Linked DNA regions of Saccharomyces cerevisiae S288C. The gene in region 3 interacts genetically with the main gene of each other region. Each region holds a gene or a part of one and is shown on either strand. Other genes may lie near its edges.

Region 1 (4,326 bases), on a different chromosome or scaffold from region 3:
ATGTCATAACATGTTAAGCGTTTTGGCTGTCTTCACAGATATACTCTTTTCTTGTGCAATCGTTGTCAAGTTGGTTATAAGTAACAGCACTAGGTGATGTATGGTGTCCCTTGCCCTGTTTTTGATATGCCTATGAAGCGCTGCTGCGTTTTCGAGGTATGGCTTCTGCCGGGCTAACGTTCAAATTAAAGGAACTAGATTCTGCTGTTATCAAACCGACAAGAAGAATGAAGTGCATAACGTATGAAAAATAGGTCCTGTAAAGCTCTGGTAAAATCTTACTGCTCTAAGCGATGCATGATATTCATGGCTAATTTGAAATCTTGCTCTAAAACCCTTTTTGCAAGAAGAATATCATGGCAAGACCGCAAAAAGAGAATAGCACCATTTGCAGTGTTCGAAAGTTGGTGGCTTTTTGTATGTTGCAGTTAAATGATGGTAGAACAGGTTTTTGCGGTGTCCCATGAGAGAAAAGGAAGGAAGACATTCATAGAACATCCATGGCGGCACCCTGCTAAAATATCTTCACCTTAGTATTCAGATTTTCCTACTTCCGTCATCATTCGCTCCAATGTAATAACACGTCCACGTTATCAATAAAGATGTTTTAAAAATTTTTGTGGGACTATTATTGTACTTAAATAAATATTAAGACTACGGAGTCGGGCTATTTTATAAGCTTTTTATAGGCATTGCCGGCAAGCGGAAGAAAATGAAAGTGGACATATTTCCTCAAAAGACAGATCGTCTGGTGTTAAAATACTAAAGTTATGTAGTAATATATGAATATTATTGGTGCGGCAAGGAACAAATATAAACCCCGCAAAATGCTTTCTTAAGTAAATTACAAAATATGATTTGTGAGTTGTGTGTGAATCAACCCTCAAAATTTGCTTTATCGTTCACTGTATCTTCATTTTTGATGTTTGAAGAACTAGACGAATTATCGCCGTTAATTTGGTTATAGGTGTCTTCTACTCTATCTTCACCAAAGTCCTCTTTTTCCATTTCGTCGTCATAAGAGCCCAATGCATTGGCATGATCTTCGACTTCTTGTAGGGATAACTTGGGCAAATGGTTAGCAACTCTCCATGGTTGAGTGCCATCCTCGTATGCTTTAGCAAAGATGATGTCGATTTCCTCCAAACTTCTTCCGGCGGTTTCAGGGTAGAAAAAGAAGATAACTGGAATGTATAAATAATTCATAACAGCAAAAAATAAGTAGCAACCCCAACCGGACTGTCCAATAAATATTGGGGTGAACATGACAACCGCAAAGTTACACAACCAATTAGTACATGTGGAGAAAGCGTTTGTTGATGCACGAACTTTCATTGATGCAATTTCTGGTGGGTATATCCATGGTAATGATAGCAAAGACAAACCAAAGAATGTAATGAACAAAAATAAGCCGACGGCAGCACCTCTTGCGTTTTCTTTATTTTCTTTGACCAAGCATGCAAATGTAATTGTGAATGAAACTGCTTGACCTGTGGCACCTAATAAAAACAGCTTACGTCTACCTAGCTTTTCAATTAGAAAAAATGAACCAATAGTAGATAAGGCGTAGATTGTTGCGAAGACCCCACCTATGATCATTGATAATCTATAGTCTAATTTAATTGTTTTGTTGAATAATACAGTAGAGTAGTATATGGCAGCGTTACAACCAGTAAATTGCTGGAAAAATTGCGTTGAAGCTGCAATCAAAGCCCTCTGAAGATTTTGGGACCTGCCTCTGGAGAACAAACTTGACAGTGAATGTTTCTCGTGTTTGGTCCTGTTAACAGCATCGTGAAGCATAGCAACTTCTGTTATAACTTCCTCATCATTTGGATCCGCGTCGTCTAGTGTTCCTACCAAGTAGCGAGCTTCTTCTGTTCGACTTTGAGAAATCAGCCAACGTGGCGATTCAGGTAGTTTAATCATGAAAGCAAGCAGGAAGAGAGCAAAAACGATTTGCATTGACACGGGGAATCTCCACTGAACAGAACTGTTGGTATAAGACAACCCAAAATCAATCCAATAAGCAATCATAGTACCAAAAGCAATTGTGGAACCTTCTAAATTGACCAGCAACCCTCTATTTTCAGCTTTTGACATTTCTGATTGCCAAACGGGAATAGTAGATGTATTCAACCCTGTTCCAACACCGGTGACGACTCTTCCGATGATAAACTGGCCTAATGCCCAGTAACCACGAAATGCGCATGTAGAAATAACGGCACCAATGATGGTTATTACGGAACCCATCAGGATTAATGGTTTTCTACCAATTCTTTCACCGCAGAACATAACGAATAGAGAACCTGCGAAACAACCTAATTCATAACAGGAGGTTGTAGCGCCCTGCACTACAGTTGCGTGTCTGTCATGATCGCCATTTTCTTTGGTTGCTGGAAATTCATAGTTGAACTGTTTACCAGTAATTAGACTTGCCATCAACCCTTGGTCGTATCCAAACAGGGAGAAGCCCGTCATAGATGCGATAGTGATGAAATACCGCAACTTCTTACCCGTAAGTCCCCAGTGACTGGTTCTGCTTATAAATTTGCCTTTGAAATTCGATAATTTTAAATCCTTCATGGTCTAAAACTTTCTATGTTCTATTTTTCTATTTTTTATTTATTCTAACTTGTATGCTAGAACACGTATACAAAATAATTATTCAAAATCAATAAAGGGCTTGTTTATATACTATGAGTGTGACTACTCCTGAACTGCAATTCTGACCCTCTAAGGCCAAGCAGCGTTGAAGGGGACAAAATTGAAGCTAAAACATCTCACTTAAGCTTTCTCAATTTCTCTATCTACTTCCTTTTTGTTACGAATGCCCCAATGAAAGCCCTATCAAAGGTGAACCAAAAGTGTTTCCCTTACCGGGATCTGCACTTTCTCAGATTACTACTATCGCGAAGCAGCCAAGCGCAATAGCTGCACCTGGCGAGGATTAACCAACCAAAAACGGTATATAGCCGAGAAACAGTGTACAACCATTATTTCTTTCTGACGTAGTGGATGGCTGGACACTTTCCGCTTATTTTAGTTTCATGCAACGAACAGAGCCGCTCGAACAGGCGACGTAGCGCCGAATACCCCGCGAAACGGAGATGCTACTCAAATGCAGGTAGCGGAGGCATCGCCGTGGGGTATGCGGTGGCCGAAAAAGGACAAAGTCGGACCCTTCATATCAGTTAAAATGACGCAAGTTGAGTCAAAGTGAGCCAAATGGGCCAAATGCGGTGGAATAGTGGGACAACGGCACTTATTTCGTCCGTACGTCCGTTATGGATGTGTATACTATTTCATGATTGGCTTACCTCAAAGAAAATGAAACGGATGGTGCCTCCTAGCCTTGGCAATGAGTATCAGTAGTGGTGTTCTGCAGCCCTTTAATTCTATCTTGGCCGCATTCCAGACATATCCCTTATAGTTATGACGTATATGATTGTGGGGCATTGTTTGCCAAGGAAAATGGAGTAAGTTGAATGAAGAATATGGATTAGTGGTTCTAGGTCGCTCGTAATATCAGACTGAAAGACATTATCTTTGCAAAGGTTGTAAAAGGAGTATTTCAGAATCATTGCTGATTCACACGCGAGACCACATTAGTAAATTTTCTACTCTCGGGCTGAATTCCTCGGCGAAGCTTTGCCTTGCCATTTTAGGTGAGAATACGTATTTGCGGTATCATATTGTTTTTCTTCTCTTCCTTAACTCATTTAGAAAGTTCGATAGTGAACAAAGCGCTACACAAATATTTGATCATGGCAAAGTTACCGCGCCAATCGCCCTGCGCATTGTAGTCGCCTGCTCCTTCAGTTCGTCCGCTGGTTGCGGAATATTTGAATGTCAGTTTTCAACATTGAAACATCAGATAATGTTGGTATCGTGTTTAAATGATGGACGCATCTACGTCACCTTAAGTGCGTTTTTGCCTGTGAGATTTTTATTTCATTGTGTCCACTTGCTATTGTCTGGTTGATATTCCGATGTTTGTCGAGTTTTTTTATTTGCTCTCTGCTTTCATTTTTCTGCACTTCTGGCACATGGTCTAGCCTTTCTTAGTCCAGAAGCAACTGTCACCATTGAATAACGTTGCACTTCAACCTGTCCGTTTATCCAACTGTTTATATCGGTAGAAATAAGGGTATAAGAATAAATTGGCTGGTCAATTGATCGATGAAATTATCGAGCTTTTTTTTTTACTGCATGATCCCTGTCTTCTGAGGCTGTGTAACTTTTTTACTGCCTAAGAACTCTCGGACCCTTCTTTGGTGTTGCCTCAGAAATAGTATGGTGTATTAGCACCATAATAAAAATTTT
Region 2 (3,073 bases), on a different chromosome or scaffold from region 3:
GTTGATGTTGTGGAGGACGTTGTTGAAGAAGTTGTGGAAGACGACGCAGAAGTAGACTCCGTACTTGAATCTGAGCTGCTTATGCTATTGCTATTTGTGTCAGAGTCAAGTTGGTACACAGAATAGGCATCTTCACCACCACACATCTCACTGCTGTAACCAAAGCAATACGTATTACATGAAGAGGAAGTAGATTCCGAACCAGATGGATTAGTATCACCACAATAACATTCTGAATGATTATAAAGGGCAAAGTAGCTTGCACCTTTTGCGCTACACTCACTGTTACAGTGTGAACTCGACTGCCAGTTATATGAATCGGCCTTTGAAAAGTCAGAGGGTAGTGAGCTAAAACAATTCACGTATTCATAGGCGTTCGCTTGCGATAAAATGGATAATAACGCCAGAAGCAGACTTGTTTTGTTCGGTCTCATTATTTAAATAGAATTTTTTATCCTGAGTACTAAATCAGCCAACGTACTATCCTGAATAAATGTGATGCAGATTCCTTTTTCTCCTCTTGGTTATCTCTCTTTTTCTCTCTCCTTATTAAAAAATTTACGGACAACGAGGAGCTTCTTTCTTGTTTACCTTGATTACCCTTTAAGCAATAACAATATCAATACGAGATTTTCTGTAATGTTAGTGCCTGGTCGAGTTTACTGTATCGTCCAAGAAAACTACACTGCGTTAAATTCTTCCAAATGAGGCTATGATACGCCAAACACTTTTATTTTTCCCCTCCGTTTCTCTCGCTTTCGCTTCGAAAATTACATTATTTTCTTCCCCATGCAGCGTTATTTCCATCTTCAGAGAGGAAAGGCGGAGAAAATTTTTCTTGAGGAAGGAATTCTACGAAAGTAGTCAACTATATTACTAATCGTTTGACATAGAATGCCAAAGTTGCAGCTTTTCCACTAACGTCAAATTTGCGTAACAAGCGCTGCTGTGTAAACTGTCTTGCTTTTTAATAGGACTGACAAAAATTATAAGCGGAGAGATAATATTTAATACTGCCATTGACCTTAGTACCGGTACAGGACAATATGTTTGTATCCTTGGTGTCATAAAGAAGAGAAAAACAAGATAAGATCTCCACATTATTTTGCAGAAGGCGACTTTGGGGGCCGATGATATCTGCTTCCAGAAGTATGTAAAAAAATTACACACCATTAAGTTCTTATGTAAACCGAAGTCTGGAAGAGAGGTGGTGGAATTTCCAGTCTGCTACTAGGCAAAAAACTTGAAACACTTTCATATATGATGTTGTTTTGCCGAGCTATTACAAGACGATTTATCATAAACTACTTGCTTGAGCAGGAACGATTTCACAATCTGTTTAGCAGGTTGTTATGAAGTAGACACGATAAAGTTCTTGAAGAAAGATTGTGGATGGGTTTGCTGAAGCTTAGAACTAAGAAAAGAAACAAGCACGCGCAAGAAAACCGCTACGGCTAACTTCTAAGGTGAGGATATTGTGATTGTTTATGCCTCATATTTTGCGTTTTTATATGTTCTTCCTTCATACGGCGTGCAAATTATCCGCCGGCGAACAGGGTGCTATTCTAAAAGGAACTTTGAAACTGTAAACGCGGTGTACTGAAGGGGTCATCTGAACGAACAATATTTTATGCTTTTGTTAGCCAAACGGTACTGATAAGGGACTGTGAAAAAAAAAAGACAATGTATGGGGTTCACGGTTTCCCAGATTCGTGTGTGTGTAATAATTCGTTTACGGCGCACGACAGACACTTCAGGAAATTTAAAGATCAGAATAGGCATACACTCCGCGCAAGGAAAACAAAAGTTGCTACCGTAACCGGCTCGTACGGGGAAAGCAAGGTCATCTAGTGCTCACTTACGAACTGGCATAATCGAGTTGTGACTTCCAAACTTAACCGTACTCTCACAGCTGATGTGATCCGAAGAAAACCCTGAAGATACAACAATGGCAACCAAAGGCAACTTAAAAAGGCAAACGAAGTACTTTTCAACAATAGCTTACACTGAAACTCGCGGAGAGGCGACGCTGCGCGCGAATTATCAGTAAAAATCTCGTAACAACCCATCTGCCACTTTTAGAAGGAATGGAAATTCTCAAAAAATGACGGAAAATAATAGAACAGGGTTCCTAAACGATGCATTTCTAACAAGTAGGATAGTCCAAAAGGGAGGATGCAAATTCTTTGTTTTCCACGCAGTAAGATATGATCCCAAGCTTTCGAATATAAAAAGGGAAGGATCGCTAGGACAGATCAGTTTTTAGCCCGTTTACTTATCTCGTTCCCTACTCTTGTTCTGATAGAAACCAGCAACAAAAACCTATTCACTCGCTTATTAATACCATAAAAAATATGGCTTACTCTAAAATCACATTACTAGCCGCTCTTGCTGCTATTGCTTACGCTCAAACCCAAGCACAAATCAACGAATTGAACGTTGTTTTAGATGATGTTAAGACCAACATTGCCGACTACATCACCCTATCCTACACTCCAAATTCAGGTTTTTCCTTGGACCAAATGCCAGCTGGTATTATGGATATTGCTGCGCAATTGGTTGCAAATCCAAGTGATGACTCCTACACCACTTTGTACTCTGAAGTGGACTTTTCTGCTGTTGAGCATATGTTGACTATGGTCCCATGGTACTCTTCTAGACTGCTTCCAGAATTAGAAGCAATGGATGCTTCTCTAACTACCTCAAGTTCTGCTGCCACATCTTCAAGTGAAGTTGCTAGCTCTTCTATTGCTTCATCCACTAGCTCTTCTGTTGCACCATCCTCAAGTGAAGTTGTCAGCTCTTCCGTTGCACCATCCTCAAGTGAAGTTGTCAGCTCTTCCGTTGCACCATCCTCAAGTGAAGTTGTCAGCTCTTCCGTTGCTTCATCCTCAAGTGAAGTTGCCAGCTCCTCTGTTGCGCCATCCTCAAGTGAAGTTGTCAGCTCTTCCGTTGCTTCATCCTCAAGTGAAGTTGCCAGCTCCTCTGTTGCGCCATCCTCAAGTGAAGTTGTCAGCTCTTCCGTTGCACCATCCTCAAGTGAAGTTGTCAGCTCTTCCGTTGCTTCATCCTC
Region 3 (3,459 bases):
TGCAAAGTTCTTGTCTAAACAACTAGAATTGGCACACCTAGAACATTCTTTGAAGATTGGTGTTGTGCAAACTGCCTATGCAAACGGCAGTTCCACCGCTTACATAAAAAATACGTTGCACTGTCCCGTGTCTTGCACTAAGACAGGTGTTAAACACTTGCATCATGAAGCTGCCACTCAGTACGATATTGGCATTTATTTCGAAGCAAATGGACATGGTACGATTATATTCAGCGAAAAATTTCATCGAACTATCAAATCTGAATTATCCAAGTCCAAGTTAAATGGTGATACGTTAGCTTTGAGAACTTTGAAGTGTTTCTCTGAATTGATTAATCAGACCGTGGGAGATGCTATTTCAGACATGCTTGCTGTCCTTGCTACTTTGGCGATTTTGAAAATGTCGCCAATGGATTGGGATGAAGAGTATACTGATTTGCCCAACAAGCTGGTTAAGTGCATCGTTCCTGATAGGTCAATTTTCCAAACCACGGACCAGGAAAGAAAATTGCTCAATCCAGTGGGGTTGCAAGACAAGATAGATCTTGTGGTAGCCAAGTATCCCATGGGAAGAAGCTTTGTCAGAGCCAGTGGTACGGAGGATGCGGTGAGGGTTTATGCGGAATGTAAGGACTCCTCTAAGTTAGGTCAATTTTGTGACGAAGTGGTGGAGCACGTTAAGGCATCTGCTTGAAAGCATTATTCGATGTATAGTATAGCTATTTAGATATACAGAGAGATAAATGAAAGAGAAAAAATATTGGTATCAATCAACGTTTGTTACAGGCTTAGACTTTGGTTTGGTAATTGAAATTCATGGTAGTGGAAATAAACAAAATTTTCCTCTTCAATTTTTTTCGTCGTTTCGCTCTGCAATCGAAAATCAAATAATCTTCATAAAAGAAATCACTTTCAATAAATGAACTTCTCACTACCATAATGGATGATGTGGCCGATTCGAAAGCAATACGGTTGATTAACACGGAAACCCCGAGTGATAAGTCACCAAAAAAAATTCTCTTTACGATGAATGTTCCGAATTTGTTCTCCTCTTTACAGTTTTCGTTGGAAAGGTATTTATATGTAATTTCCTTCAGAATTCTCTTGTTTTCTATGTTGGCATTGTCGAGATGAACCTGTTTCAGTATGGCATTGGGAAAAAGTGTAGCTTGTAACTTTAAAACTTGATCATGCAGTGTTGCAGCTAAATTATCCAGAGTAAAAATTTCCTCTTTGGAGTAAATGCCTAGCAAGTTTTTCAGCTGACTACTCCAACCTCGCCTGGCCCTGTGCTTTCTACTTACACAATCTTTGTGATTTGGTGGTAAGGTTTTTGGAAAATGAGGAAGAGTATCTAGTTGTTGGGTAATGTTTCTTTCCAAGAATGATATTTTTTTCATTATGACGTCAATTTCTTTAGAATAAGCCGAGAACTGTACAGTTTTAAAACCCTTTCTGTTGTCATTCCTCTGAATCCCATCATTTGCCATTTAATTTTCAATTTAGTTACTAGTCAATTTTCTTTTTCGCCTTTTGTATTCCATAATATGAATATAAGCTTGGGCTTGCCGATTTTCTCCGCTTAATATTAAGCCTACGCATGATGTAGGTTACATTTTGAAGGGTTTCTTTTAACTTCCTTACTTATTTATATATGTATGAACCTACACAAGGCATTTTACCCTTATTTCTTCCCGCAACATTTGATAAAAAGTGGAAGACGTTTGTGATTGTTATTATCGCCCCAATTTTCTCCTTTTTTTCTTTTCCTTCAACGTCAATCAATTGCACATTCAGCCGATTGGCTTTCTTAGCGCAGGATAGGGTGTCGGGGATACCTGTGGGAAGTTAGTGACACTTTTTTTTCCACTCTCTTCATGGAATCCCCGGACGGCAGCCGCCCGTCCCAATTTTGGCAAAATTGACATCCTAACTGCACGAATTCTCATCGCGTATCAGAACTCTTGAGCCTTCAGTTTTACTACTCAATGCTCTGATTTATCTATATATACATAAATGAAAATAATACGTGCGCATTTATAAGACAAAAAGTTAGAATTCTGACCACGATTGCATGCTGTAGATAATTGTCGTGTTCATTCTCTCTTTAACGGCGCCTCAAGAAGAATATAAAATAATTGCTCTTGCAGTCTCAATGAGTCGGTATGTTCAAAGTGGTGCCCAACATTTACTAATATTGGACTGCGGTACAAAATCGGCGGCTAAACTGTCTACCGATAAAATACTCTTGATTTATAAGAATGAAAAAGAAAACAAAAAGGGATGACCCCTGAAAAAGTTTGTTTTCTTTACCCTTTTTTATGTTAAATTTTACATTTATTACCGTTTACGTCAATCGCAATATACAGGTGGGGCATTGTTATTTGATTTCATAATCTGGTGAGAACGTTATCACGCGGATTATTTAGTTTTTTTAAACCATGTGCGAAGAAATTCTCATATATTGTAGGCATTTCTGACTCAAACTTCTGCTGCTTAAAATAGCTGTTTTCACCTTTTTTTTCCTCTTGTTCTATTTGACATGCTCCCTTTCTTCCTCGGTCCTTTCAACCATTTCCATGCTCCTGTAGGCTCAGGAGCAGAGCGAGGAAAAAACTTCCCTACAGAAAGCTTTCATGTTTTTAACCGGTTTCCTTTCAGCTTTTTCTTTTGGAGTAATCTAGAAAGATTAGGTCATTTGTTCAGTCTATTTGATACTTGATGAGTAGCTCGTCTGTTCTGTTCAAAATAACAATTTGTGAGGTGTACGGATGTTTTCACTGGCATTCGTCGACATGACAAAGACAAACCTTGAAAATAATAATGGAGAATAACTAGAAAGACGTTACTATGCCTCTAATACTTCTGCCTCTCTTATCTCTCCTATCAATTGTGGTTAGCCTAGTAGTCACCAAATAGCAAATTACCAATCAACTATGGAAAACCAAGAGAAACCGCTTTCTGTAGACGAGGAGTACGATTTATGGAAATCCAATGTTCCATTAATGTATGACTTTGTTAGCGAGACACGTTTAACATGGCCATCTTTAACCGTCCAATGGCTCCCTACTCCTGTTCAAGAATTAGATGGTGGCTTTATTAAACAAGAATTAATCATCGGTACGCACACTTCTGGTGAAGAAGAAAACTATTTGAAATTCGCAGAAATTAATCTACCAAAGGAAATTCTTAGTAATGAAGACCCACAAGAAGAAGCAGGAGAGGAGTATCAGTCCTCTCTACCTGCTCCTAGGTCAAATATAAGGATTACCGCTAAATATGAGCACGAAGAAGAAATCACTAGAGCCCGATATATGCCTCAAGACCCTAATATTGTCGCCACAATAAATGGGCAAGGCACAGTTTTCCTCTATTCTCGCTCAGAAGGTCTTCAGTCAACACTAAAATTTCATAAGGATAACGGTTATGCTTTATCATTTAGCACTTTGGTCAAAGGGC

Evidence for each region.
Region 1: mutations in SDD1 (region 3) and STL1 together harm fitness more than expected from each alone (negative genetic interaction), as found in Saccharomyces cerevisiae (one large-scale study listed by BioGRID).
Region 2: mutations in SDD1 (region 3) and YOR008C-A together harm fitness less than expected from each alone (positive genetic interaction), as found in Saccharomyces cerevisiae (one large-scale study listed by BioGRID).

Annotation. Positions count from the first base shown.
Region 1 is NC_001136.10:1,506,265-1,510,590, reverse strand, and holds STL1 (glucose-inactivated glycerol proton symporter STL1), read right to left. Parts: upstream 2,587-4,326; coding exon 877-2,586; downstream 1-876.
Region 2 is NC_001147.6:341,981-345,053, forward strand, and holds YOR008C-A (uncharacterized protein), read right to left. Parts: upstream 1,102-3,073; coding exon 877-1,101; downstream 1-876. Other genes in the region: SLG1 (Slg1p), read right to left, coding at 1-434; TIR4 (Tir4p), read left to right, coding at 2,355-3,073.
Region 3 is NC_001137.3:44,232-47,690, forward strand, and holds SDD1 (Sdd1p), read right to left. Parts: upstream 1,491-3,459; coding exon 789-1,490; downstream 1-788. Other genes in the region: phosphoacetylglucosamine mutase PCM1, read left to right, coding at 1-694; HAT2 (Hat2p), read left to right, coding at 2,937-3,459. UniProt on the Saccharomyces cerevisiae protein: Acts as an endogenous target of the ribosome quality control (RQC) pathway. During translation, the nascent chain has a propensity to stall ribosomes, thereby stimulating activation of the RQC pathway.